Arabidopsis thaliana: one gene and its partners. The protein of the gene in region 4 purifies or fractionates together with the protein of the main gene of each other region. This does not show direct contact. Each region holds a gene or a part of one and is shown on either strand. Other genes may lie near its edges. The genes, in order: UBA 2, AT3G18860, UBA1 and PUR4.

Region 1 (6,930 bases), on a different chromosome or scaffold from region 4:
AGATTCTTGTTGGAGAATCACCAGGTGATGTATAGAGAGAGAGACGTTTCCATGGATTCAGAGTTTAGAGAAGAGATGTGGAGGTTGCTTGGTGGGAAAGTTACCTCTCCGAGGCTGTTCATTAGAGGTAGGTACATTGGTGGAGCAGAAGAAGTTGTGGCATTGAACGAGAACGGGAAGCTGAAGAAGCTACTACAAGGAATCTCACAGGTTGATTCACCTTGCGAGTCTTGCGAGAACGAAAGGTTTTTGATATGTTCTAGCTGCAATGGAAGCACAAGATTGCTTGCAGAGCATCACGATGAAGAGAGTAGTAATGATAATATGTGGACAAGATGCAGAGAATGTAATGAGAATGGACTTGTGAAATGTCCTCTTTGTACGTAGTTGCTGTTATAAGCTAATAATAACTATCTGATTTTTAACTTTGTAGTAAATGATGTGTGAGAAAAACGTTTTGTATTAGGATTGTTTAATCGTATTATGTTTGTAATGAATAAGTGAAAAACACCAAATTTGAAAATTTAGTTCTAAATTTTAAGAAGTTAACTCTATTCTCATACATCAAAACTCTCTCTATCTCTGAAACTCAACTTCATATCCCAAGAATACAGTAATTATTAAAAGCTTCTCTCGTTGGGGACGTTAATTAAAATTCTCTAATCAGGCGAAGTAGACTGATACGAGAGGGATATCAACGTCAGCATCATTATCATCTTCACAAGCGACTACAACATCCACGTGACGTCTATAAGCAGGCAATTCAACCCCAGCCACGTCTCTTGCAAGATCCACCACTCTTCTGTTCATCCTCTCTTTATGCCTTGAGAACATACTGTTGTACAGTAAACTGCTTCCGCAAGATATGCTGTATGCGTTTAGCCCTTTCTCTTTTAGCCAGTCTAGCAACTCCCTTAGGGTCGGGTTTCCCCTCATCACCCACCGGTCCCAAACAGTCCAGCTTTGGTCTTGGTGCTTCACCACTTTAGGTGGAACCGGCTCAGCCATGGAGAAGAGCGGAAGTGCTAAGTTAGCAAATGTGTTTCTGTAGTCTTCTACTTTGTGTGACCCGTCTAAGACCTTGTACATCTCAAGGCAAACAAAACCTGTTGCCATTGCAGTTGATGTCGCAATCGCGGGTATGATTCTTCCGGCTATGAACTTGGCTTTAAGCTTGTCCACCTCGGGAACACTGTAGTTCCTTGCTCTCATGTTGGCTAGCCCAGCGATCATATCCATGTGGTAGTTGGTATCATCGTCCTAAGAACAGCAAAATAATGTTAGTTTGTTGCTCTTATAATTCAAATACAGAATCTGAAAGATACTTGGATACATTTATGATTCACCTTTTCAAACTGGATTGCCTTCATCCTGAACTCTGGCTGCAAGCTCATCCTGCACCGCACTAGTTTTGCGTTTAGTTCATCGATTACTGCTGCATCATCGACTGAAGCTGTAGACAAAGTTGTAGCCTTCTCATCTGTCACAATAGTTGCATCTTTCTTCGGCTCAAAGTCGGGGACAATTACTCTTTCCACAGCCTCGGCTAGTCCTGCTCGGGTTTTAGCCCACTCAGGAGTAGGGATTCCGAATGTCTCTGCTCGCAAGATAGATGCAGCCATGACAAAGTTGATATGGCTCAGGTCGGTTGAGGAGAATTGGAGTGGGCGAGGAAATCTCTTTGGGGCAGACCAGAACGGAGCTCCTGTACTAGTAGCAGCATCCTCAGGAAATGTGTAACATAACTGCTTCACACGGTTGGCGAAGTAGTCCTCAAACCTGTAAGCAAGCAATTATGTAAAGAGAAGAAAATCATTTTACATATAGTCTCAATGAAGGGTGTGGGCCAACAGAGAGTACCTCAGACGAGCCCAGGTTATGCAATCCTGGAATGAATTGCACTTTTCTTTCTCGAGGCACTCAACAACACGTCCCAAAGTATCCCTTGCTTGGGCATCACCAGCAGTTCTCATCGCTTTCATGTATTCAACAGGATCTGAGAGGTATGCATTAACTTCAGCTGGTGTTTTCTCAAGCAAACCCTCAAATTCAGAGCGAGCCCATGTTAAGCAATGATCAATGTTGTGAGGAAATGAGTGCACGGTGCACATTGGAGCCTGTTTCTCTGGTGGGTCTCTCGAGGCACCATAGTTCTCAGTGAGGTGAGGGATAACCATCTGTGTGTTGCACTTTGCACCTAGGGTTCCTGACTCGAGGAGAGGCTTCTGGAAATACACACACCTTGAATCAACATAAAGCCTTGCAGTGACATTGTCCAAAGCGTTCACCACAACTGTCAAATTCTCCCAGAAGCTGTCGTCAAAGACATTCTCGGTCTCAGGTCCAACACGATTTTGCAGAGCATCAATGTTGAGGCGAGAATTTATTCCAGCTGCTGCTGTTGCGGCAACTGTGGATTTAGCCTGTCCTATGTTCCAATCTCGAAAAAGAAACTGACGACTCAGGTTGCTCTTCTCAATTACATCATCATCGGTGACAGTTAGCTTCCCTTGGGTGCCACATGACACACCCATCAAAGCCAAGTTCTTTAAGAACTCGCATCCAAGAGCACCAGCCCCTACAACAAAAACTCTGGCATCCTCGAGTTTCTTCTGAAGAGTAGACCCAAATACAGAGATCTGTGCATCGTAACGGCTATTTTGTGGTCTAAACTCTGATGCATCAAGAGGTTCCTTGGGGAGTGACTCCACCGAATCAAAGTAAAAGAACTGCACAAATAATGCAAACTAATTACCACATTACCAAGTATAAAAGAAATACTACTAACAAGGGAAGAGAAACTTTAGTCCTGGTATAGGACTCATGTAGAGTAAATGCCTGTATAACATAGATGAACAGCATTGCTCAACAAGTAGAAGTTTAACATACAAAGACCGAACAGATGAGCCCCTGAAAAACCAAACAGAAAAGTCTTTACCTGAAAGATAGGATGGAATTTCCCAGAGCATGCCTTGACAACCTCCTGCCCAACAATGCCACCAAACATTGCAGCCATAGGATTCAGAACAGCCCTGGATCCAAAGGCCAAATGCCGCAACAGTTTAGAGTTGACATCTTCCAACCTTGCATCACCCAAACCCTCATTAATGTCAACTGCAATTTCCACTAGTTTCTGAGCATCTTCTTCTGAACCAGCAAACGGAAATCGGCCTGCTTGAGACGAAAACCTATCAAGTGCTTGGAATGCTAAGTGGAGAAGAGGTGGTCGGTCAAACTTTGAAAAGTCACTTAGAAGAAAGTCGCCTGGATCTTTAAGTGCTTCTCTAAGAGGTTTAAAGTTCAACACCTTTGGTTGTTTAACCTGAGTCACAATGCCACCCTTCATATATTGCCCATAGCTAGAGGTGTCTTCCTCCAGGGTAAATGAAAATGGCTTGACATTTTTTATCTTCCTTGGTTTTCCATCATTTAGCTCTGTCATTCCCTCAACTTCAGAGAAAACAACCAAATTTCCATCTTCAAACTCGAGCCTCTCATCATCGACACACGAAACAAATCCAGGATTTTCATTGCTAACAGAAGCGATGATGCCAGAGTGAGGTTCCTCCCCATCAACATCAAGAACAGTAAAATGAGGTCCAAAATCACAAAACAAAGACCCAAACAGCCCCCTAACATCAGCCTTGATGAATGCAATAGGAGGCTGATGACTGTGACAATAATCATCAATCTCTGTCGCTTTCTCAAAAGAGATATCCACAAATACCACAACCTGCATCAAGGAAAAAAAAAAGAAATCAACCACTAAAGCCAAACATTCTGTACTTTTAGTAGAAACGTTTTCATCCACGTTCAGTCACCTCTAATCTCTTTTACAGATAATTATGTCCATGAATCATGATAGTATTATTAACAACTAGAACAAGGAAGCAAAGACAAACCAAATAAAGGAAGGGTTTGGATACCTGGAAATCAGAAAGCTGCTCTTTGGTTAACTTCCCAGTCAAAGTTGAGACAGCCACAGCATTGTTGAGTTCTTGCAACTTGTGAACAGAAGCAAGTGCTCTATTCTTACCAATGTCCTCCTCCGTGAAAACAAAGTTACTAGATAGGTCCCATAGCTCAACCACATTTTCATCGTGAAGGGTCACTGACTTCACACCAGCTAGAATAATATTCTTGGCTAAATAAGAAAAAAAAAAAAAAATCATCCATCAGAAAGAAGGAAATAACGAAGAGAATAAAGAGCTATACCAGTCATTAGTTCATTACAAATCTATAGTGAATATTGAATAATCCTTCCATTATATAATGTGTCACTAACTCATTAGAAAATCAGGATTAACAAGTTAATATACCAATTTTACAATCTCAACTTCAAGTGCCCAAATGTACACACAACATCAAAACAGCTTAATCACGAAATACGTTTGCTCAAGCTTGAAGCTCTTTAACAACCAGCAGGACAAGCACAGGAATAACATGCAAGCAGAAATTAACAACGAAAAGTACAAAAATCGTTACCAATCTCAACACCAAGGCCCTGCATCCCAGAGATGAGAACGTTGGAAGCGAAAAGCTTCCTCATAGTCTCACGGCCGTAAACGGCGAGCTGTCTGCTATGAAGATCTTCATCGATCTCCTGATTGTTGGAGTTGTCGTTACCAAACTCCGCCATGCTCATCACCGTATCGTTACCACCGATGCTGTTGTTCAAACCGATGCTACTGGAGTTAGAAGCGTTAATCGCAGAACCATCAGCTGACTCAGTGTGATCGATCCGTCGCTTCTTCATCGGCGAAGAAGCAGATGCGATGATGTTCTCCTTAACAACGAATGGTTCCATATAGAGTAACTGAAAGAGAATATGTATCAAATAAACAGAAGAAGCTTCGAATAACAAACAAAGACAATAAATGAATTCCGATGAGAAGGTTCCTAGAGCTAATCGATGAAGGAATCTGAAGAAGAAACGAGAATCGGAGGAAATGAAAACGAAACCGTACCTTTGAGAGAAGATCGGAGGCGATAAGCGGCGAATTTGTTGTTAAAGTAGAAAGAGAGAGTATACTAAGCTTTTGGCTTTGTAGGTTGTGTAGAAAGAAGCGGCGGTATATAACAAAAATTGGGCGATGATTGTTGGGCTTTGAAACTATTTGTGCTGAATTCAGAATCAGCCTGTGTTGTGTGGTAAGTTTTTTCGTTTTTTCAAGTGGACCAGTTTAAGATAAATATCTGGTTTTGGTCTTGTAACATTGAACCGGATTTGAGTATGCAATAGACCAAATTTTAATTCAGGTTAGGTGTGATTGAATTTAAACTTTGAAATTGTTAATCAATCAAGTTTTGTTTTTTATTTGTTGATTGATAAAGAGAGAGTAGTTGTTGGATATTTGAATGTGTGTCGTACTTGCTAATTCCTAAAGATTAATAGACATTTCAAAGAAGTGTAATAAGAGTGAAACTTAAGCATAATGTGTGGAAATGTACCTTATGAACTCAACCATTTTGGTGTGAGCATTTGTGTTTGGAAAATGATATGGGGATGCTCTCTCTATCACTTATACCAACAAACACAATCTATGTTTTATGTGTGATTTCTAAACGAAAAAAATAATATTAATGGATTTGTAGTGTGACTACATTAGCGTGAAAAAAAACTCTTGTATCTTGAGAATTTGACCAACATTGCTTGACAAGTATATTCACGGTTGTATGATAACGATGAAAAATGTCTCACATTATATTTCTTGTGTGAATTGGCGTTGGTAACAAAGATTGACAAGGACCCCTTAAAAAAAAAAGTCAAGAAAAACATTCAAAAGACATAGAATTTCGGTTGAACCGGATTGGTCAGCTTAAATTACTAACGTATGGTTGGTTAAGCAAGCTGAGGAAATGTGTCTCCATTTCGTGATTTCTTCTTCCCTCGCGGGGATTTAGTCTTCTCTCTTCCAGCAGAAACCAGAAGAACTGTTCCTCGCTTACTACGATCCCTAACCGGACGCGAAATTTCAAGGTTCGTCCTCCTCTTAACTTCTCATCAGTTAATGTCTCTTTTAAGTTGAATTTGACTAGTATGATTCCAATTTCAGATGATAGTTAGGGGATTTTATCTCTCGGATCGATCGTTTTGGGTTACAAGAACTAAGATAGAATCAAATGTTTTTGTTTCTCCATTAGTTAATTAGTCTAAGAGATATAGAACAAAAAGTTTCGCTTCTTTCTTGTTATCTTTTGATGCACAGAAAGGTCATGAAACCTAGAACTAGGGGGAGTGATCAATGGTATTTGTAGCCAAAACTAAAAAAAAAGTTTGTTTACCTCTACTTTGATCAATTCGATGCTAGATCATTGTTTATTCAATGTGTGGTCCTTTCTTCACCCAATTTCTCCAAGTTTCCAACTCATGAATACTTGTAGTTTTTTATAAAAAAGAGGAAACCTTATTGGTGCTCAAGTTATATGAGTGATGATTGGATTCACTATCTTACTTTCCACTTCTATTAGTATTGAGATAAGTTTAGCTACAACTTTGTCAGTTATCGTTGAATCTAATTTGATTTGTGAATATTCTTTAGTGTTTTTTCATCACATGGCCTCCTTTGATGGGCCAAAGTTCAAGATGACTGATGGCTCCTATGTTCAGACTAAGACCATTGATGTTGGATCATCAACAGATATCTCTCCATACCTTTCACTTATAAGAGAAGATTCTATCTTGAATGGAAACCGAGCGGTGATCTTCGATGTGTACTGGGATGTGGGGTTTCCTGAAACTGAAACCAAAACCAAAACGTCAGGGTGGAGTCTGTCATCGGTGAAGCTGAGCACTAGAAACTTATGTCTCTTCCTTCGACTTCCTAAACCTTTTCATGACAATCTCAAGGATCTGTACCGTTTCTTTGCTTCCAAGTTTGTCACTTTTGTTGGAGTGCAGATCGAGGAAGACCTGGACTTGCTTAGAGA
Region 2 (7,661 bases), on a different chromosome or scaffold from region 4:
GCAACGTCGAATAAGCCAACTGCAGATTCTTATTTGGGGATGAATAACAGTTTGAGAAGGCATCAAGAATCTGCATTGATCCACAGCAATTAAAACCACTTCTCAAATTATTATAATAAACACACACATGTATAGGCACTATCTTATGTTTAAATGTAATTAGAAACTTAATTTATATGCCCAGACGCAAAAAAGCAATGTATATTAGACATAAAACCCAAAAATTTCTCCTCAGGTTGCAAGTCACAGCTAAACCAATTAGTAGGTTCATCGAGATCATCACACATCCTAGTTCTGGTATAAAATCATAGAAATGAAAGAGTCCTTACTTGACTATGATGCGTCTGTAGCCAGTAATGAAATGAAGAATTCTTGAATAGATTAACAAGGACACGAACAGTCGTTAAAAGATTTGCAGGAAGAGCAGAATCTTCTGTAACTTTCTTTATCAAATCCAAAAGCAGGTCTGATTGATATATAGTAACAGAGAGATACCAGTTAATAAAGGACATTACCTACTAGCTAGTACTTTCATTAATGTTGAGAAAGCATAGCTTCACGAATTAGATGATTACCATTGTTGTTTTCCACATGCTTGATAAGTAGACTTGCTCCATGATGATGCAAAACGAGCATCCTTACTATATCAGTAGCTGCATATTCAAAACCATAGGTATAAGAGCTTGACACAAGATAAACATAAGGCTATATCCAACAAAAGACAAAAATAAAGTGGCCAGCGAAAGGCAAAATGCTTTATGGCCTGCAAGAAACATCAAAAGAAACACAAGGAGACCAAGAATAACATCCAAATAAACCAAAACATATCTCATTTTAGATTGTTTAACAAGCATCTCGGAAAAAACTGACTTTGCTGTGGCTTCATAATATTGAGAAACATATGGCTACCATCAAAAGTTCAATATGTAATAAACAGTTCTGTTTGACTAATTGATTGACAAGAGAAGACCAACCAGGAAACATCATTGCCGGTGGCCATGCTTGTAGCACTTTCAAAAGCAAAGCAATATCCATGTCAGCAAAATTGGTAGAGTGGTAGTGTGATGTGTCCTTCAGTATATTAACGATTGCGCCTACTCTGGATACTTCGAGTTCGGTCAGGGACTTGTCATTGTTTACCTTCAAAAGATGGAAAAATTGTAGAAACATAAATACCAACAATAGTATAAGTAAAATAACCATTTAATCATTTTGTGTGACTAAAGTTGATACTGAAAGCTTACTGCGTCAGATCGTAAAGTAGTATTGAACTCTGTCATCTTTTTCAGAATCCCGTCATATTGAGCAGCATCGAAAACTAGCACACCTCTCTGGAGAGAGTTATGGAAGAAAAAAGGATCAAAAAGCTAGAAACATTAAACAGTAATAACTAATAAAGAAAGAGAACCAGCGTACTTTTGGAATGTGCTTGTATAAAGGTTTTGCCGGAGTTGCTGCAACAGAAAAGAGTCAGAGCATGAGGCAGCAAAAGAACAATACAAGAAATGAAGAAATTGAAAGTATTATGTGAAAATGACACAGACAGTGTATTCATACCAGCTGTACGAGATGCTTGCCCAGGCACATAAGCATTTGCTGTTACACAATAAAAGGCAAAACACAAAATTAAAATAAAATCCTAAAAACAAAATTTCAGACCAATTATTTTCAAAAATTTTATACCGCCGGTGAAGGGATCACGAAAAGATGGATTAAAGTTGAAGTCTTTCTGCCCAGAATTTTGTAATATAAATTCAACAATTTGCTGCCGATATGCAAAGGGGAGATTCTCTTTTAGAAGCCACTTGTCAGCTGCATCATAAGGATTGTCTGCCAAACAAGAAAAGATTTGAAGTATCAAAAACTGAAGCAGTTTCTTGTGGTTGCACTTGTAATAAAACAAGGCCAGTAAGAGCATTCAGGTACCTGATCGATTGTAAGGTAGCTTCCGGATAGGTTCCCCATCACCAATGTCAACATCGAAAACTAGAGAAAAAAAAGGGCTAAGAATTTTGTTCTTCGATTTTGAGAGATTCTCAAGTTTCCATAATAGGTCAAAATCTAACCAAAATCATATTGAACTCCCTCGTGAATTGGACGATCAGCCACACCATCTGGGCCATCAACAACCTCACCAATCTGAAAAAAGGCATGCAGTGAGAACTCAAAACATTCTACCACACTAAAAAGCCAATGTTTAATCCTTCATATGCAAACAAATGTTAGAGAGAAATCTATCTCATTTACTTGCTATCTACTTAAGAGATTGCTACTTCGAAGGAGGATCAGAAGTCAAAATCAGATGAAATTTTCCTCTCAGGTATGGGTTGCCACATTAAATAAAATCCTCGCAAAAGGCAAATTGCTGGCAGTACATGCTATCAATTTATGACCAGACAGCATGCTCATTCGTGGAAATTACAAGCCCTAATCCGATGGCAACTTTTCGATGAACAAAGTAACAAATATTCCTCAAGGTAATTGTTTCAAAGGGAAGTTATCTGTATATTCATGCATGCGATCTAATATATAGCAAAGCCGCATTCAGGTCAAGAGCAAAAACGAAATGCAGTCGACAAATAAAAAAAAAGATAAAAGTTCATTCTGTTTACTTACTTTGTCCCATCTCTGTTCTTTCATATTCCATGCATAAGCAACACCATTGTCTCCTTCCCTTACTACTTTTGTCTGGCCATCACTGGTACCTGAGAACATATATCAAATAAGAGAGGATGATGTTACAAGAATGCCAGCTTAATCTATTCAAATTTGATCGCCAGACACTATCAATTATCTTTGTGTTCTCTTGAGATTCTTTAAAATTTAGCCTTTCTCCCGTACGAAACATTAATATTACAATTAATTGGATAATAAATGGTACCTGGTGACGTCAAAGAATCAAGCCCTGGCAGCTCGTCAAGTTTCAATCCGCCAACCTTTTTCCTGAGATAAAGAACAGCACGCATATACTTTGCAGTTATATTTTGAGCATAAAAGACAAGAAAGCATACCCCGTCAGCAGGTCATATAATATGCATTGCCACGTGAAGAAAAAAAACTCAATGGACATAGAATTTAGTCGATAAGAATAGAGATCACCATAAATGATCAGATTACCTGCTTAGTTTGTATTGAGAAATTTGGGAATCATAGGCATCAATCTCCATCTGATCTGCAATCGCATCATGACGTACTGTCCAAACACGAACCACTCCATCTGAACATGCTGTCACAATATCTCCGGTTTCCAAAAACTTGGCATCCCAGATACAGCCTGGGTGTTCCAAACTCTGAACGCAGACTCCATCTGTACCAAAACAAAAATAACAAAGTAAGAACAATAGATCAACCTATAAGATCTAAACATGCTTTAAACCAAAATGTCAGTCTCTTTTCGCAAGTGATATCTATTATAACAGCTATTGCAGACCAATCTTCGTGAGCCTTTCAAACTGGTTTCTGATCAGTTGATTACTGTCTGACATACTAACAACTAACTTTCCATAGGTTGCAACTAAGTGATCAAATTTATAACACGTCTTCCACAAAAATATGATATATAGACATCTTTATTATTGAAAGAAAACTTTAAGAGCGAGCAACATACTGAAAAGTGGAGACATATTTTCCAAATTTAAACATCTCAGACCTCATATAACCTAGAAAACTGTGAAACATAAGTGAAGAACAGCCAAGGCATCAATAGAAACTAAGGAACCCGTAATCACCTTTCCATATCTTGGCATGACGATCTTCACTGGCACTAACAATAAGGCCAGACGAATGTGCGTCAACTGAATAAACAAGGGAGGTGTGGCCAACCATCTCAAGAAGAACTTCGCCACTTAGTGCCCATAACCTGATTGAACTGTTAGAAAAAATAAAATAGTGATTTACAACCTTTGCTGTGTACAAACACATGAAAGGATAAATAAGAGAAAACTCAAGTATCATATTATCCCCGGATCACAAAACTTATCCAGGTCATGCAAAAGACAACACAATTCGAGTTAAGCACATAAGGATTCACTTGGACAATGAAATTCAGTAAGGCATGAGTTTGTTGGAAGCAAATAACTTACCCATCATGTGATGCGGAAAGAAATCCTAAATCAGGCATCACAGCTAACCCTCTAACAGTATCTGCATTGTAAAATAAAAATACTTGTATAAGACAATAGTTTCTCCAATAACAAGGAATCCCTGACAACAGGCCAGTGTCTTGGCACTTCACAAGATAAGATATCTTAGAGCAGCTAGTATCAGATTCTATCTTATTTCCGGTATGCAGTTTCTCATATTGACAAGGAAATTTTGAGAGATACGAAATTTGGGAGAGAGTAATGAATTCACCTGTATGCCCTGAAAGAGTTTGCAGACTCGTTTTACCCTTCCAGAGTTTGAGACTGGCGTCACTTGAACCTGGTAAGTACAAGTAACATCAGTGAAAAATATGCCGTCAAGCCTAATCAAAAAGAAGTATATGCATCTTAAGAACAACCAAAAAATCATTTAACCTAAGCTTGCAAAACGATCATACTAGAAAATACAATCGAATAAGGAAGTCCATGGCAGCAAGAAAACAACAAAAAAAACAGAAACAAATGCATCAAATGACAGCTTTAGCTGGATCATGTACCTGAAACGAGCTCACCAGATGGCAGCCTTATCACTGCCTGGATAGGCGACTGGTGTGCATCCCAAGATTCAACAAGCTGACCGTTTCTCCATCGTTTCAGGGTTCTACAAATAAAAATAAATAAATGTAAGTTACATTACACAACAGTAGAGGGTAAATCAAAATTTGATGGATCTCTTTACCCCAGTATTACTAAAGCTAGTAAGCTACTCAAGACAATAATGCACACAATTAACACTCATAAAACCTTTACAACTACGGTTAAGATTCATATAATATCCTGTATGTGATACAATTCCTGGGAAACAGTGAAGGAAAACCGCAGGCTAGTACACTCACTGGATACTAAGTAAGAGGCATTATTGACTAAACAGTTGGTAAATGTCATACTAAGGAAATTACATGAACAGGAGGACTTACTGATCAACTGAAGATGAAACTATGTCCTCATTATCAATAGCAACACCAGTGACTTGCATCTGATGACCCTTCAATGTCTGAATATTCTCTCCATTCATCAGATTCCAAACAAAAACGAAAGTATCCATACTCCCAGAGACAAGTCTTCCTTCAGGGTATTCATCAGTTGGTGGGATCCATGCAAGTGGCCCAACAAAGCTAGTATGACCCAGCAGAATTTTCTCGGAGGTATACTTGCGCTTATCAGATGGATCCAGTGACCAAACCCTTATGGTCCTATCTCTTGATGAAGTAGCTATATTCTCATCATTACACACACAAATCCCACGAACCTGAAGATGTTGATAAACCATGAGTTTCCATTGTCACAATCACAGTTATTATTCAATTGCATAAGCTCAATAGCATAAAGACAATCACACTCCTGCCGAAAAATTGTATAAATTTGATCTATATTAATGCCATTGGCACGCAAGGTTAAACATCAAACCCTATTAGATAAAATTCTCAAATTGAGTACAAATTCGTTGAGAAGTCAACCTAATAATAAAACTAATCAAAACAAAGCTTCACACTAACTATCAAATCAGCTCATTGAATTGAAAAACCCTGGATCAAAAGCGGAACAGTGAAATTGGAATCACGAGGGTGAATTTTGCTGAACCCTACTGAATACAAGACTTAATTTCAAAATCTAGAGTAGAATCGATCACGAAAACGAGAAATCAAAACAGTAGAAAGAAGAAGTGGATTTAGCAAAGAGATCTTACATCATCATCGTGGCCATGAAGCTCGCACCTGAGCTTGTACTCGTTGAAATCGATATCCATGACCATGACTGAGAAGGAGAAGCAGCAGATTGAGAGATACCAAACGCCAAATTGCTGCGACTCAAAAAGTGACTTGAGGAAGGAGAAACACTCTGCAGGAGAAAAACTAATTTCTTATTTCCTTTCTTTTATATAAGGATAAACGTATAATAAATAACCTTTGTGGGCTTTCAAAGCCCGGCCCAATTGATAGACTGAAAATAATAATAAGCTGAATAAAGGGAACAATGAAACACGATGACGTGTCGAATTTAATAATGACGAAAAAGGAGGGGACAGTGGTTTAAATTTCCTCACCTTCCTAAGAGTACTACTTTCTACGAGAAGTGGCATAGACCGTAATTAGCAACAACCTCTGAGCCTATTTTCACAAAACGATCGTAGTCCTTCATGATATTTTTCTCGGCCATTAAATTCTTCTTCTTCTGCACTGTTTGTTTATAAATAAAACCTGGAAGCTCAGTTCCATGGTAAGCTGTCTTCTTCTATCTGGTTCCTTTCTCTGTCTGAATTTCTTTTTTCCAATAATAAATTTTACAAATGCTGTGTTCTTGATTGGCTTTTTTAATCCTCACTGAGATTTGTGCTTGAATCTTGATTATCTTGGTGAGAGTTTTTGTTTTAGACAATGTATATATGTGTTTGAGAATACAAGCTTCTTCTTTATTTTAATCCAACATTAATCAGATTGTATGAATTTGAATAAGTCTATTAAATTACAAGACATTGTTTTCGTTTTCTGTTGATAAAGTACTTTGCTATCGATTCTTATTTTGATGTGTCTTTGATCATTACCTGCAGGTGAAGTATGTTGTGTTCAACCATATGAGCTCTGATGGTGATTCTGGTAACAGGAAATTCATGAACTTTGTGATTCATTGCATCAAGAATAGAAGACTAGAAGGGGGAGGTTAATTAGATTATCTTAAGGTGTATAAAATGGAAAAAAAGAGTGTACCAAATTCTGATAAGTTGTCTCTGATTAGAGTGTTAAGAGGTATAATATGTCTGATGGTGTTAGTTTCAACAGCTTTTATGATGTTGATATTCTGGGGGTTCTTATCAGCTGTAGTGTTGAGGCTTTTCAGCATTCGCTATAGCCGTAAATGTGTTTCCTTCTTCTTTGGCTCGTGGCTCGCCTTGTGGCCTTTCCTCTTTGAGAAGATTAACAAAACCAAAGTTATCTTCTCTGGTGATAAGGTTCCTTGCGAGGATCGAGTATTGCTCATTGCAAACCACCGAACAGAAGTTGATTGGATGTACTTCTGGGATCTTGCACTGCGTAAAGGCCAGATTGGGAATATCAAATATGTGCTTAAGAGTAGTTTGATGAAATTACCTCTCTTTGGTTGGGCGTTTCACCTCTTTGAGTTTATTCCAGTTGAGAGGAGATGGGAAGTCGATGAAGCAAACTTGAGACAGATAGTTTCGAGTTTTAAGGATCCCCGAGACGCTTTATGGCTTGCTCTTTTCCCCGAGGGCACAGATTACACGTACGTTTCCTTTCTTTGGAGTATCATTCTTGTTTAGAGACCTTTTAGTTAAAAGCATTTTACAATGGAACTTTATGCAGAGAGGCTAAATGCCAAAGGAGTAAGAAATTTGCTGCTGAAAATGGCCTTCCGATACTGAACAACGTGCTGCTTCCCAGGACAAAAGGTTTCGTCTCCTGCTTGCAAGAACTGAGTTGCTCACTTGACGCAGGTTTGTCTATACTTTTGCTGGTTTGCATCAGTGATTTAAGATCCTAGGCCTTTCCTCTCTTCTTGAAA
Region 3 (7,646 bases), on a different chromosome or scaffold from region 4:
TTTGATGAAAGAAGACGTACCAAGCATCAAAAGCAGCTTGATTTTCGTGTTGTGGGATCTGGCCAATTCGACGAAGGCGCTGATAAATCTTGGTGATCAAGCCAAGTCGAGTCTCGAATCGTCAGTACTCTTAATATATTTGTGGCACTTTCAGTGAAAAAATCTTTCTCCTTCATGCCTATATATTGTTTGCTTACTCCAATTTGAATTGTAGTGTACCAAATAAATTGAACCACTCTCAAATTGAATCCAAAATTTATGCAATGAAACCGAATAAACGAAAACTACGATACCTATTGTTAAAAAAGCTCATCAATTCTATAGCCGAGTCAGTCAGTATAACCGGTAAAAAGGAAGTAAAGGCAAACAGCTTTTGAGTCTAGAATCTTGGGTTGGGGTTAAGAGAAGGTGGTGCTCGAGACTTGACCCTAGATTATATCTTTAGTTCTTTGCTTCAATTTGTTCTCTGTAAATAGATTCACAGAGTGGATATTATTTAAGGTAGATTATATCTTTCGGATTCTTATCGCGAAACACCACCTGCAAGAAGACATGGAAAAAACCGAAAAACTCGAAGATTTGTTTGATAGAACATGTTTAGAAGGTAACGGGTGTGTAAACCACACATTCAGCAATTGTACATAGAAAGAAAGACTAAAATAGAACGAGAGAGATAAAATGAGTCTCTATCCCCCTCAAGTAAAAATCAGTTATCTCACCCACAAGCATCCAAAAGATAATAACGTAGGGCAGATGCAGAGACAAAACACACAAATTTGCTCTCAAGAGTTTCATCTTTCTTCATTCTCTCGAAACTTTTCACCTGAAGTAGATAGAGACGAGAGGAATATCGACGTCATTGTCATCTTCATCCTCACAAGCCACCACTACATCAAGATGGTTGCGATAAGGCGGTAACTCGACTTTCGCAACATCCCGAGCGAGATCCACAACCTTCTTGTCCATCCTCTCCTTGTGCCTTGTGAACATACTGTTGAACAGAAGACAGCTTCCACAAGAGATGCTGTATGCGCTAAGCCCTTTGTCCTCCAGCCACTGCAACACCTCACGAAGAGTTGGGTTTCCCTTGAGAACCCATCTGTCCCAAACTGTCCAAGCCATGTCACGGTGCTTCACCACCTTTGGTGGAAGTGGTTCAGCCATGGAGAATAGTGGAAGTGCCAGGTTGGCAAATGTGTTTCTGTAAGCTTCCACTTTATGTCCTCCATCAAGGACCTTGTACAGCTCGAGGCAGACCAGCCCAGTAGCCATGGCTGTTGAAGTCGCAATGGCTGGGATGATTCTCCCTGCTATGAACTTTGCTTTCAGCTTGTCCACTTCAGGGATGCTGTAATTTCTCGCCCTCATGTTGGCTAGTCCTGCTATCACATCCATGTGATAGTTTGTATCATCATCCTACAAACACATCAAATTCAAAATGACAACACTCAGTTAAAAATTGTAAACAAGACAAGTCAATATCAGTGAAGACGATAACATTGGAGGGTAATATACCTTTTCGAACTGAATAGGTTTCATCCTGAAGTCTGGCGACAAGTTATGCCTACACTGGTCGATCTTAGCAATGAGATCGTCGATGACTGCAGCGTCGTCCACCGAAGCAGTGGTTAAAGTGGTAGCTTTCTCATCAGTCACAATCTTTGCATCTTGCCTTGGCTCAAAGTCTGGGACTATCACTCTGTCAACAGCTTCTGCTGCTTCCTTTGGGTTCTTAGTCCACTCAGGTATCGGGATCCCAAATGTCTCTGCTCGTAAAATAGCAGTCGCTGTGATAAAGTTAAGGAGACTTGGGTCGGACGACGAGTACTGGAGTGGACGAGGGAATCTTTTTGGAGCAGACCAGAATGGAGCTCCGGTACTAGTCGCAGCATCTTCAGGAAATGTGTATATCAATTGCTTGACACGGTTCACAAAGTAATCCTCAAACCTAGTCACATAACATAACAAACACATAAATTATTGCAAAAATCACAGACTCCACAGAGGAAGGAAACGATTTATTCCCACTTCTACATATTGGTTGTAGCTACCTGTTGTGAAATGAAGTTACCTTATAACACTGTTCCTAGTTTTTTATTTTATTTTTTAGTTTCGTAATGATGTTTTCAACGAATAATTAAGCAATCCTGGGATGAAGCACATGACAAAAGCATAAAATAGGAGACTGTAGCAGGACATGAGTAAGACACCGGACTATATTTCATTCCATATTACGACTAGACTATCTAACTAACTATTAAGAGTGATATTACCTCAGTCGTGCCCAGGTTAAGCAGTCTTGGAAGGTCTCACACTTCTCCTTTTCAAGGCACTCAACAATCCTCTCCAATGTGTCCCTCGCCTGAGCATCACCAGCACTCATCATTGAGTTAGTGTACTCAACTGGGCTAGAAAGATATGCATTCACTTCAGCGGGAGTCTTCTCCAGCAGACCCTCAAACTCAGAGCGAGCCCAAGTTAAACAGTGATCAATGTTATGCGGGAAGGAATGCACTGTACACATGGGGGCCTGTTTCTCTGGTGGGTCCCTTGAGGCACCGTAATTTTCAGTTAGATGTGGGATAACCGACTGTGTGTTGCACTTTGTACCAAGAGTTCCAGACTCAAGGAGAGGCTTCTGGAAATACAAGCACCTCGAATCAACATAGAGCCTCGCATTAACATTATCCAGTGCATTGACGACAACAGTTAAGTTCTCCCAGAAGGCATCGTCAAATACATTCTCAGTCTCCGCGCCAACACGGTTTTGCAGGGCCTCAATGTTGAAGCGAGGATTTATAACAGCAGCAGCCGAAGCAGCAACTGTGGATTTAGCCTGTCCAATGTTCCAGTCACGGAACAGAAATTGACGACTGAGGTTACTCTTCTCAATGATATCATCATCTGTCACTGTCAGCTTCCCTTGGCTTCCACAAGAAACCCCCATCAGAGCCAAATTTTTCAAGAACTCACAGCCAAGAGCACCAGACCCTACTGTGAAAACTTTAGCATCTTCAAGTTTCTTCTGGAACTTGGCCCCAAATACAGATATTTGGGCATCATACCGGCTGTTTCTTGGTGCAAAGTCACTCGAGTCCACAGGTTCAGAGGGGAGTGACTCCACTGAATCAAAGTAGAAAAACTGATAAACAAAAAGAGTCACAACATCAGATCCCAATACGAAACTTTAAACAATATAAATGTATCAAAAAAAGAGGAAACAGCTGTAACTTCCCACAACATAAAACATTAGGAAAAAGGAGAGATGCGTATTAGATAATGTTCCTTATTTTCATTAGAATTTCTATTTCTTTATTTACTTTATCTAAACAGCTTTCATTTAGCTTCTAATATATTACATAGGGATGAAGAGAGCTTAGGAATTAATTACTCTTGGGTGTATTTCAACTTCTGTCTTGTTACTTTGATTCGGTTTTAACAAAAGAGAGCTTTGAGTTTAAATTCTAGTGTTTAAAATTCTTAACTCGAACAGAGAACTTGGCATGCAAAGACTAAATATGTGTTCTCACAAGTCTATAGAAAAGAAATTTTACCTGGAAGAGAGGATGAAATTTTCCAGAGCAAGCTTTAACAACCTCCTGTCCAACAATACCGCCAAACATTGCAGCCATAGGATTCAGGACAGCCTTGGCTCCAAAGGAAAAGTGTCTTAGAAGCTTCTGATCAACATTCTCCACCTTTAAATCACCCTGCCCGGTATTGATGGCTGTGGCAATCGATATAAGCTTCTGAGCGTCCTCTTCTGAGCCAGCAACAGGAAATCTGCCAGCTTCAGCTTTAAAATGATCAAGTGCCTGGAATGCTAAGTGAAGGAGTGGAGGCCGATCAAACTTAGAGAAATCACTAAATAGAAAATCCCCTGGATCCTTAAGCGCTTCCCTCAATGGCTTGAAATTCAGTAACTTTGGCTGTTTCACTTGAGTGACAATACCACCCTTCACATATGTTCCATAGTTAGTAGTGTCCTCATCAAGGGTGAATGAATATGGCCGTGTACTTTTTATCTTCCTTGGTTTCCCATCATTCAATTCTGTCATACCCTCAACTTCTGAGAAAACAACTAGGTCACCATCTTCAAACTCAAGCCTCTCATCGTCGACACAGGAAATAAATGCCTGGTTCTCATTAGAGATAGACGCAATGATGCCTGTATGGGGTTCCTCTCCATCAACATCAAGAACCGCAAATTCAGGCCCAAAATCACAAAAGACAGAGCCGAAAAGACCCCTGACATCAGCCTTGACAAAAGCGATAGGAGGCTGATGGCTGTGACAATAGTCATCAAATTCGATTGCTCTTTCCATGCTTATGTCAGAGAATACAACAACCTGTTTGGCACAAAAGTAGATGTATCAGCGTAAAACCCGCCAACAAGAAACACACACCAATGAGAAAAGTGTACACCAATCTTCCATATCAATATCAATAAACACTAGAAATAGCCTAACACTAAATGAGACAAAACCCATCTCTTATATGCAACGAAAATAGAACAACCCACTCTTATGTTACTCATTCAGTTACAGTGTTATCATAAACTCACAAGTAATCTACAGAACGATACAGTACACAAAAGACTCAGACCATATAGAACCAATAACAAGACAAATGAGTTGTCTACAAACCTGGAAGCCAGAAAGATCCTCTTTGTTTAAGCTTTTGGTCAAGCTAGAGACAACCACAGCATTGTTAAGATCCTGTAACTTCTGAACAGAAGCATCTGCTCTATTCTTGCCAACATCATCCTCCGAGAAAACAAAGTTGCTTGATAAGTCCCATAGCTCTACAACTCTTTCATCATGCAAGGTCACAGACTTCACACCAGCAAGTATAAGATTCTTGGCTGAAGAAAATCAACAAATAAAACAAAAACTGAATGAGAAAGCAATCGACTAAAAAGTATCATTAACAGTTCACATTTACCATGCATCTTAGAAAACTGGCATATAACGAAACCCCAATAACAAAGATATCGAACAACTAAGGAACATCAGGAAGCTACTAAGATTTGGATGTTGAAGAATACCAGCAATCACAGATCAGGAGAACCAAAACAAAACAACTAAAGAGTAAAATCTTTGAAGATGACACAATTATTCACAGCTTCTAATAACGACGCATACGAAAACAGTGTTTCTACAAGTTTCAAAAACCAAAGAGACGAGGGAGACCACAATCTCAACATAAAACCAATGAAGTACATACCAATCTCGGCACCAAGACCGTGCATCCCCGAGATGAGAACATTGGAAGCAAAGAGACGCCTCATAGTCTCACGACCATAGACGGCGAGCTGGCGACTGTGCAGATCTTCATCAATCTCCTGACGGTTCGAATTACCAAAAGCCATGTCGATTTGCTGAACGACGCTATCGCCGTGAAAACCCCTGCTACTACCAGAAGCTAAAATCGAAGAAGACTTATCAGACGAAGATTCAGTGAAATCGATACGGCGTTTCTTAGATGATGCTAAATCGGAACCGATGATGGTATTATCGTTCTTATCGTTAGCTTCACTAGCTCGCTTGTGAAGCATAAAGTGATGAAAAAACCTGGAGAAAACATGTGAAATTCCCATTAGATTAGAGAACACTGAAGAGAGAAAATCCGATCAGAATTGAAATACCTAACCCTAGATTGATTCTTCGGAAGCTATGAGAAGGAAGATAAAACGTACCTTTGAGGAAAGCAGACGAGAGAAGATTGGAATCGGAAAAGAGAAAAAGTTTTTGAGATCTGAAAATTGAAATTGAAGTGACGAATTTTGCAGAAATCTCTAAGATTTATTTAAGAGAGACGGGCGAACGAAAGGGGTTCGGTTGTGGGGGGATATGAAACGATGACGTTTTAACGGTTAAGGTTTGATTTGTCGCTCTTTCTCCGCGTGATTGTGACGGCAACTCTCTGACCGGGGGACACGCGTCCGTCACTATTTCAAGACCAGATCCGGTTTAGTTAATTTCTTATGGATCCTTCTTATGAATCTGTATTAAATCTGAAATATTGCTTTCTTTTTTTAATTACCAAGTTCAAAAAAACTCACATCTTCTTTTGGATAACTGGAAACTTTAATATTATAATTAAATATTAGATCAATTTCCAGCTATGAATATTATAATTAAATACATTTTCTTCTAAAGTTTCTCAAAACAATCTTTTGAAAAAAAATTCATGACTTTCTATGACTTTATTTTGTGAAAGAAAATGTAGAAAGTCATGAACCAATAACATAATAATTTAAATCATAAACAATCAGAGATTTTTTTGTTTTAATAGAATAACACAAAAAATTTACTGACTTTATAAAAGTATGAATTCAATAATCTAAAATTTATGAAGATTTTTAGATTACTTTTTACAAATCTTTAATGAATAACACAAACTTTTAACATACTTTTAAATTTTTTTGATTAAATAACAACAGATTCTACATGATACTTTAAGTCACTAAAACTCTTTTGAAATCATAAACCAATAACACCTCCTTAACTCGTGGTTAGTTTATACAAAAATAAAACTCTATAAATTAATACTTGATAACTTACTTAATCACTATATTAATAAACGATTGTAAATTGAAATTTAACTTATGATTAGTTTGGTTAAAAGTGTAGATTTTGGAGTTGATGTTGCAATTCCATGGATAGACGATCTTGAAATATTTGATCGCAGTCCATGGGAGTGAGATTTCATCAACTTTCAATTTCTAGAGGGAGAAAGCAACAAGTCGTGGGTCTTCTTTTATCCAACTAAAAATGTTCATCTTGGATATTTTAATTGCAATGGTGCTCTTATAAAGTGGGGCAGTGTCAATTACTATGTTCATCAGTTTCAAATGGGTCAAGAAGTTGTGAGCACTTCTTCTAAACTAGCTTACTTAAGGTATCATGATGATTTACCCATAGAGTTTGTGGATGATTGGCTAAAAGGATGGAGTTTGGCAGAGTATAACTACAAAGGCAAAAGTCTCTACACTCTCAATTTCTCACCTCAGGCCAAGTCATTCATCACCCTAAGAAAAAACAAAAATGGAGTTGTGCAAAATATCTTCCCAAGACGAGTACTAATGATGCTGGTAAAAGAAAGGAATCCACTGGTGCTCCCAAAACGAAGAGGATTGCTAATAAAGACAAGGCTGACAAAGTGGCAAAGAAAACTAAAACTGGGGAAACCCTGAAGGTGAATGTACTTCAGAAGCAATACGAGTTAAAGGCATTTTGTCGAGCTCGACAGGCAGTATTGAGCTAACTGATAATGAGGGTAAGTGAAGAACTCTTCTATTTGTAAGAAAAAAACAGCAATTTAGATATGCTTAAAAGATAAGTTATCTTGTCAGGTGATCGTGCTCTATCTGATATTGGTGCTGCATTGGATGCTAATATGAGGAAGCAAAATCTGAAGCTTTAAGAAGGAAAGGCATAATAGATGCAGTTGAAACCTGGAAGCAAGCTAAGGAAGAAGAAAAATGGCTTCGTGACTACGAAAAGGTAGGTGAAGACCTGTGATACATCAAGAGAAGATTGACTTGATTAAAGTAAGCATTTCTTATTATATATTCTTGATCGTCTTTATAGGATGGAAACCTCTTCAATCTTGTAACTCGTAAGAGGAGAGTACGAACACTT
Region 4 (7,622 bases):
TAGATGTGGAGAGGAGTTTGAGTCGAGGTTGGTTCATTAGATATTTGTTCTTTCGTCATTTCTCTTATGCTCCAGCAGTGTGCTTTGTATCATTCACCTGTAGTTTCTTAATATTGTGACTTTTCATGCTGGGCAGAACAAAACTACACAAGCACTTGGCTGATAGTGGTCATGCGACAGTGAAATCCCGATGATCCATTGCTCATTTTAAAGTGCATCTAAGGATTATGCAGAGAAGAACCAAAGGTTGGCTGGAGATTTGCATTCTTTGATTAAATTTATACATGGACACAATGAACAAGTGGGATAGAGGGCAAATAAGCTGCGTTTTTGACATTATTGTATTGCAAACCAATTGATGACCAAAGTTTGTATACCACTCCTTGTATGTTTGAAGCAATGATTTTGCAGAGAAGAAATCTATTACTTGTTCCTTTTCTCTTTGTCAAATCCATGTTTGGCATCTCAAAACCTCCCATGTGCGCCTCATTGTTCTCAAGAGATTCACTTACGGGAGAAGACTTTCCATTGATTAGCTAAGTAGGATACAAGATATCAGAGTTAGATAAACCCAACTTAGTACCCAATGGCACAAGATTGCTTGATTGATCGAAGAGAGTAACTCATGCTTAATTTCCAGAGTTTGAATACAACGTGAAGGACAAAAAGCACACATCAAGTCTCACTAAAAAGCACATGATTTGTCGACAACTTTCAAAGACTCTGCAAAACACCAAATGCACAACAAAATGATGCAGATAAAAATTATACTAAAAAAACACGCTTAACACGACTCTAACCAGTCCCTTGCATTCTGGAACATCTTCAACCACGGGCTCGGGCCAGCTTTCTCAACGTCCCAGCTTGTTGGGTACCATGGAAACTGCCACATCAAGAAACAACGTTCAGGATGAGGCATCATCGCCAAATGTCTCCCATCAGGTGAACATATAGCCGCTATTCCCAACGGTGAACCATTGAGGTTAAAAGGGTACGCTTCAGTCACGTTCCCATCATCATCACAGTATCTCAATGGTGCCAAATCTGAGTGAAGCATATGGTCCAAGACTCCTTCGTCCGGGAAATAAGCCCGTCCTTCTCCGTGCGCCGCCCAAACCCCTAAAGTACTTCCCTCCATTCCTTTCAGCATTATCGATGGCGAGTCCTTTATGGTCACGCTTGTGAACCTGCACTCAAACCTTCCTGATTCGTTGTGAACAAACCTCGGCTGCGAGGTGTCAAGTGACCCGCCAACTTGAGGACCTGGAACCCATCCTAACAGAGCCATTAACTGACATCCATTGCAGATTCCAAGACTGAACGTGTCTGGTCTTTTGTAGAACTCCTGAAATTGACTCAACACAGGCTCGTTGAACCTTATTGAAGCAGCCCATCCTTTGGCTGAGTCGAGAACATCCGCATAACTGAACCCTCCCACAAACACAATACCGCGGAACTGATCAAGGGTGATGTCTCCAGCTAGAAGATCAGACACTGTCACGTCCCAAGGTTCAAAACCGGCAGCGTAAAATGCAGCTGACATTTCTCTGTCTCCATTGCTGCCTTCTTCTCGGATCACTGCTACTTTTGGCTTAACATCTGAGAGCATATACAATAAACAAACATTTTCATTAGAAAATATACGCTATATAAATAATTAAAGATAAAAAAAAACCTCATAGAGAGCGATCATACCCTGAGACATATAATTATTGTTGGTCGAGGATGGAATAAATGAGAGTTTCCAATTAGGCTCATGCCTAAACTTCAAACCTTCTTTCTCCATCTCTACACAAGATGCCAATCGTTGCAGCTTTTCCAACTGGAAACTGGTGTCTTCCCACATGTCTCTGAGGAATGAAGTTTTCTCACTCAAATGAGTAATCCCATCCACTTTTACCTCTATCAGAGGCGAATCAGTGACATTTCCAATGATCTCAGCAGTAACATCGAAAGCACGGAGTTTTTCCATCACAGCGTCCAGGTTTGTCTTACTAATCTCAAGCACGAGACCAAGTTCTTCAGAAAACAAAGTCTCAAAAAGGCTAATTCCATTTGAAGCCAAGTCGAGATTTATACCTTTGTTTCCAGCAAAAGCCATTTCCAAAGCTGTTACTACCAGTCCACCATCACTGATGTCGTGTCCAGCAGATACCAAGTTTTCTGCAATGAGAGCTTGAACGCCATCGAAAACGTTTTTCAGATATGGAACATCATCAAGATCAGGACAGTCATTTCCTATCTGACCAAAAACCTGAGCCAGTGCAGATCCACCCAATCTCCTCTTTCCCTTTGCCAAATCAACATGCAAGAGAATACCATCATCACCTCCGAGCTTTAGATCCGGAGTCACTGTCTTTGTTATGTCTGGACAGGTAACATAGGCACTAATCACAAGATTTCCTGGAGCTTTAACAACCTCACCGTCCGCATGAGCTGCCATTGAAAGACTGTCTTTTCCACCATCAATTGCAATGCCAAGTTCAATCATCGCTTCAGATAGAGCAATCGCAGCATCATACATTGCTGATCCTTCTCCTTCAAGCTTGGCAGCATACATCCAGTTACCACTAGCTTTAACATCAGAAAGTGCAGTGACCTTTGCCCAAACCAGATTTGTCAAAGCCTCTCCAACAGCTAGCCTAGCCATGGCTTTTGGATCAAGCAAGCCTTTGATCGGTTGCTCACCAATGGCACATGCACCACCTGTTAGATCTGTGAATGTCTGTGCAATAACTGCAACATCAGCAAGCGTGATCTGCAATGGCCCAACTGTTTGTTGCTGAGCAACAAGACCTGTCACACATCTATCCACTTTGGTTGTCAAGAACCGCTTTGAAGAAACTGATGGTAATCGGAGAACTCTTTTCAAAGCATCCATCAATGTAATTCCAGGAGCAATATCAAGTGGCTCCCGTGCATAAGCAATGCGGTTGAACTTAAACGTCTTCTTAGGCATATCACCAAGAACCTTCTCGAGTTCAAGATCCACAGCAGGTGGAGGTGGAGGTAGCCCTTCTTTACTGCACTTCGCTGCAGCTGTGCTGTCAATTAAAGTACAGCGACCACCCCCATTAATTGTTCCAATCACAGCCATCGAAAGCCTTTCCCTCTTACAGATTGATTGCAAAATCTCCCGGCTCTCAGCTTTCACCAAAATCGCATCTTGCTCTTGATATTCTGCTCCCCATATCTCCAACACCGACATAGTATGATCACCCACAACAACCGCTCTTATGTCAATCTCTGCACCCTGTGGATAAATAATTTCCTTGACAACATTGCAGTTTCCACCAGCACCTTGATCATGAATGCTGATAATAGGATTCTTCTCACCCATCTCAATACAAGCACGAACAACACGGTACAACTTCTGAGACATTTCAGCATCTCCACGTTGCACAGCATTGAAATCAAGCTCTGCATCATTCTGGCCACTAACCATACTCGAAGCTGCTCCTCCTCCCATGCCAATGCGGTAAGCAGGTCCACCAATCTTAACAACAAGCATCCCAACCTCTGGCTCCCCTTTAGTTATATGAGTATGATCAATCTGTCCAATCCCTGCACTGAACATAATCGGCTTCAACCATTCTCGTCTATCCCCACTTGGCAGTCTCATTCCAAAAGTCCTAGTATATCCCTGAATCATGGGCTCTCCAAATTTGTTACCATAGTCAGATGCACCATTACTAGCGTCGATGAGTATCTGTAGAGGTGATGCTAGGTTCGATGGGTATTGGAAAGACGAGTCTTCCCATGGAGCATAAGATCCCTCCATGTTAAGGTTACCAACACAGTAACCAGAAGTGGATGCAACCACAAAAGAACCTCTTCCTGTTGCATGTGTATCTCTGATTCGACCTCCAGCACCTGTCTCAGCACCAGGATAAGGAGCCACAGCACAAGGGAAATTATGGGTTTCAGCAGTGAACAATATGTCGAGATCACGTGCACTGACATCAAGTAAGCACACAGAACCAGGAAGTAGAGGCCGTAGCTGGTTCACCAGAAAGCCTCTAATAGCACTAGAGTTATCCTTAAACCCAATGACAGAATTATTTCGATTTGCCTGCAAAATTCAACACAGAAGATAAGAGTGAATTATACGAACACACATTTCAAACTATAGGAAAGGAGAGAAATTTTGACTTAAGTCCTTTATTGTTACCTCCCAAGTGCTCTTTACAATCTGCATAAGAGACTTATCCATTGGCTTTCCATCAATAACCATGTTCCCAGCAAAGAACCAGTGTCGACTGTGCTCGCTGTTGGATTGAGCGATATCAAATAGCTCCACATTGGTAGGATCACGCTTAATGTCCTCTCTGAAAAGTCTAGTATAATACTGCAAATCTTGCTCATCAAAGGCTAAACCCATCTCCTGGTTGATTTCTTCCAGCGCCTTCCGACCCTTCTCCATCACAGGCACATACTTCACTTCTTCTGGAACCACATTCGTCTCGAATGAAACCAGCTTTTGAGTGTACACGCACTCGGTCATTCTATCATGAACCATTGCAGCAAATTCTTTTATCTGATTTTCCAAAAGTGGCTCCTTGCTGAACAAAAGGTACCTCCTTGACCTTTCCAAGCGAGTCACCTCGTCTAACCCACATGCTCTACATATCGAAACCGCATTGGTGGACCATGCTGTTGTGAAAGACAATCTGGGGCCAACTTCAACAATAACAGCATGGAGTCCTTCTTGCTTCTTCCTCTCAAGAAAACTATCCGTACCTGAAATTTAACTCAATCGTCAATAACAGAGAGGCCTAACAATATTGTAACCATATCATGATATAGCATGCAAATAACAGTACCTAAATTCTCTGGCTCATATGTTTCTTGAAGAATCCACTTTAGAACAGAAAGTTTTTCATCTTTTAACTTGGATTCAAGCCCAATATTGAAAGACTGTTCTGTAGTCAAACTGACAATCTGGTTGCTGATTTTGGTTTGAACAGCCTTGAGGAGTTCCGCGTTCGCGCTTTCTTGAATCAAAGGCACGCGATAAAAATGGATAACCTCAGCAGCAGGTTTCTCAACCAAGCTTGGTAGCTCATCAGCAGTAACAAAAGAACCAGTAGAAACAGCTGCTTTAGGTTTATTAGGTTGAGCAGAACATCTCAAGCTAACAGCTTTTGTTCGATTCAGAGACAGCCGTGAAGTTCTCATTCTAACAGAACCCCACAATTGACTCATTGAGCTCCGCTGCAAAAGCATCGCTTGTCTATTGGAACCCTGCAAAAAAACACTAACTTGTTAAAACGAAAACATTATGGATGCCAAATACCAAGAAGTTTCCAGTAAATCAGAGTCCTAAGTTACTGCATTCAACATCAACAGAACTTCAAATTCTCAATATAAAGTACTTTTCGAAATCATCCTTATAATCAATCTATGAAAAGATTAAGCAACAGAACGGAATCAAATAAGTTCATCGATCAATCGACACAAAACTTGGACCACTGATAAGAATAGCAGTAAGAGAATATTTACGTTTAGAAACAGAGCCGCACGAGTTGCTTGGGAGGTATTCATCGTCGCGAGATATGACCGGAACAGCAAACAAAGTGAAAAGAGGGTTTAGGGTTTTTCTCTGTTACTGTCTTAACGGGACCGAAGCTCCGACTCCGAGAGTACGGCAGTCGACACAGAGTTCTTGTCTGGTCTCTCTTCTCAACGAATCTTAGGTTTGTTGGTACTTTTTTGTTTACATGAGAACAAAATTCTGATTGAAAATTCTAAAGTTGAGCCTAGGTAAGCCCAATAAAGGTCTAATGGGCCTAAGGGCCGATATCACAAATCGAGTTTCAAATGTTTCAGTTTACAACTTCAATCAGCTCTTGTTTTTTGATTATTTTGAGTGATTTTCGATTTTCAGACTTCAACAATTAACATATGCCATGGATGATTCTGAGAATTTAAGTGTTTCTAAGAACTAATTATAAAGTTGTAATAGTGATTTGAGAAAATATGTTACCATTCGTCTGTTTTAATTCGTTATAAAAGGGGAAAAGGGAGTCTAATTTGGGATGAAAAACCGGATCCATGATCAAAGTCAATTTAGAGAATCTCCAAACACTTCAAACAAAGAAAGGAAATGCTTTCAATATCAAAATACAAAATAACAAACTAGTGAACAAAACCAAGGCGGCTAAATTATAAGTTTAAGCCATTTTTGCATTGCTTCATATGTTACTCGGATACATGAAGACTCTCACTCTGCTTCCCTGCAAGAACATAAGGAATAATATCTTGTTAAAAACCCAAGCAAAAGATTTCACTTCTAAACAGAGAAGATGATTATAGAATCTGTTTAAGTACCATGGACTTGGGAGGAAGGTTGGATGTGAATTTGGCACGGACAACACCGCTGTTACCGTGAGGCCTGGTAACCTTTCCCCAGATACAGCGGTAGTGGCTACCGTTCTTCTTTGTCTTAGCCTTGTAGATGTAAGCCATCCTCTTTCCCTTGTACCAGTTTACCTCCTCCTGAGTGTTAACTCCTTCGATCTGGACGAGGGACGTGTTTGGATACTGGTTGGACTTCGACCTGCACACCATAGTAAATGTCAGACCAGAGGAAGTATCAAACAGTAAGGTCTCGGTTTTCAGCATGACAAGGTTATTAAAGCAGAACTCAGTTAACAACAGTGTTGATTAATAGAAATACAAAGCAGCTCAAAAATAAAATGCCAGATAAGTGTCCTAAGAAATGTAGACAACTAACTAATCAAGAGTCAAAATGTTCCCATTTAGTGAAAGCATCAGACACATAATCTGATCATAAGTGGACGAGAAGCTTGGTTATAGGACTCGTTTCTGTCAAATTGGCTTACATAAATACCAATCAACGTTCATTACATGGAATCTTATTGGCGTCCAATCATAAGCTATAAGCAGTGTAAAATGGAAAACGAAAGCGATGAAAGAAATGGGTCACCTTTTGTATCCGAGGATGGTTCCCCTCACGTAGAGTCTGCAAAATTAGATAACATAAAAAGAATCAGACTTTCGCATTATCGATGATTACAAGATTACTAAACCATGAAGAATCAGCTCAAATCTAGACAATAACAATAGTAGCAAAACAGTTTCAGAAGTGAGGAAAACAGAGCAAATCTCAAATGATACACCGATAGAAAACCATCTTGGTGATATAGATCAAACTTGAAGAAGAACGAAAAGAGAAATAGAAGAAGAAAGACCTGACTCGTTCTCCTTGGCGTCCCTTGACCATTTTCGATTCCGCCGAATATCCAAAGGCTGCTGCTGCTACTCGAGGGAGAAAAACGAAGAAGAAGCCCTAATATGGGCTTATGGGCCTTAACACTATTGGGGCATTAGTATATTAAGCATCTTGGGCCATTACTATAATGAATAACATATAAAAATGGGCTTCTCTATTTTTATCTCAAAACAACAACAAAAAAACGATCTCTATGTTGTAGTTCTTGAACAGTTGGCTCTCTTTTCAAGAATCGTCGCCGTTGACCTCCGTGCCTCTCCGATCAACTTCCCATTCTTTTAAATGACGAGAGATTCATCAAGGAACAGCTCATTAAAGCCATGGCCTCGAAAAAAATTTCTTTTTCCTTCTGTTGTGATTGTCATTG

What was found.
Region 1: the proteins of PUR4 (region 4) and UBA 2 fractionate together in Arabidopsis thaliana (co-fractionation; one large-scale study listed by BioGRID). This does not show direct contact.
Region 2: the proteins of PUR4 (region 4) and AT3G18860 fractionate together in Arabidopsis thaliana (co-fractionation; one large-scale study listed by BioGRID). This does not show direct contact.
Region 3: the proteins of PUR4 (region 4) and UBA1 fractionate together in Arabidopsis thaliana (co-fractionation; one large-scale study listed by BioGRID). This does not show direct contact.

What each region holds. Positions count from the first base shown.
Region 1 is NC_003076.8:1,968,116-1,975,045, reverse strand, and holds UBA 2 (ubiquitin activating enzyme 2), read right to left. Parts: upstream 5,087-6,930; 5' UTR 4,968-5,086; intron 4,817-4,967; 5' UTR 4,808-4,816; coding exon 4,486-4,807; intron 4,145-4,485; coding exon 3,927-4,144; intron 3,734-3,926; coding exon 2,939-3,733; intron 2,730-2,938; coding exon 1,861-2,729; intron 1,780-1,860; coding exon 1,347-1,779; intron 1,261-1,346; coding exon 664-1,260; 3' UTR 519-663; downstream 1-518. Other genes in the region: AT5G06470 (Glutaredoxin family protein), read left to right, coding at 1-387; AT5G06450 (Polynucleotidyl transferase, ribonuclease H-like superfamily protein), read left to right, coding at 6,557-6,930. UniProt on the Arabidopsis thaliana protein: Activates ubiquitin by first adenylating its C-terminal glycine residue with ATP, and thereafter linking this residue to the side chain of a cysteine residue in E1, yielding a ubiquitin-E1 thioester and free AMP.
Region 2 is NC_003074.8:6,500,008-6,507,668, reverse strand, and holds the start of AT3G18860 (transducin family protein / WD-40 repeat family protein), read right to left. Parts: upstream 6,002-7,661; 5' UTR 5,896-6,001; coding exon 5,830-5,895; intron 5,392-5,829; coding exon 5,060-5,391; intron 4,744-5,059; coding exon 4,640-4,743; intron 4,423-4,639; coding exon 4,354-4,422; intron 4,144-4,353; coding exon 4,083-4,143; intron 3,869-4,082; coding exon 3,729-3,868; intron 3,308-3,728; coding exon 3,118-3,307; intron 2,944-3,117; coding exon 2,882-2,943; intron 2,706-2,881; coding exon 2,617-2,705; intron 2,140-2,616; coding exon 2,067-2,139; intron 1,987-2,066; coding exon 1,927-1,986; intron 1,831-1,926; coding exon 1,684-1,830; intron 1,597-1,683; coding exon 1,558-1,596; intron 1,455-1,557; coding exon 1,417-1,454; intron 1,332-1,416; coding exon 1,245-1,331; intron 1,141-1,244; coding exon 975-1,140; intron 654-974; coding exon 576-653; intron 467-575; coding exon 330-466; intron 71-329; coding exon 1-70. Other genes in the region: LPAT5 (lysophosphatidyl acyltransferase 5), read left to right, coding at 6,829-7,382, 7,463-7,593.
Region 3 is NC_003071.7:12,851,813-12,859,458, forward strand, and holds UBA1 (ubiquitin-activating enzyme 1), read right to left. Parts: upstream 5,916-7,646; 5' UTR 5,699-5,915; intron 5,574-5,698; 5' UTR 5,558-5,573; coding exon 5,227-5,557; intron 4,865-5,226; coding exon 4,647-4,864; intron 4,350-4,646; coding exon 3,555-4,349; intron 3,143-3,554; coding exon 2,274-3,142; intron 1,949-2,273; coding exon 1,516-1,948; intron 1,417-1,515; coding exon 820-1,416; 3' UTR 517-819; downstream 1-516. Other genes in the region: AT2G30105 (LRR/ubiquitin-like domain protein), read left to right, coding at 1-96. UniProt on the Arabidopsis thaliana protein: Activates ubiquitin by first adenylating its C-terminal glycine residue with ATP, and thereafter linking this residue to the side chain of a cysteine residue in E1, yielding a ubiquitin-E1 thioester and free AMP.
Region 4 is NC_003070.9:27,922,221-27,929,842, forward strand, and holds PUR4 (purine biosynthesis 4), read right to left. Parts: upstream 5,743-7,622; 5' UTR 5,545-5,742; coding exon 5,503-5,544; intron 5,245-5,502; coding exon 4,824-5,244; intron 4,741-4,823; coding exon 4,172-4,740; intron 4,073-4,171; coding exon 1,696-4,072; intron 1,600-1,695; coding exon 785-1,599; 3' UTR 505-784; downstream 1-504. Other genes in the region: AT1G74250 (DNAJ heat shock N-terminal domain-containing protein), read left to right, coding at 1-27, 137-194; AT1G74270 (Ribosomal protein L35Ae family protein), read right to left, coding at 6,195-6,236, 6,331-6,559, 6,950-6,985, 7,215-7,246; AT1G74280 (alpha/beta-Hydrolases superfamily protein), read left to right, coding at 7,538-7,622. UniProt on the Arabidopsis thaliana protein: Essential to the male gametophyte development. Phosphoribosylformylglycinamidine synthase involved in the purines biosynthetic pathway.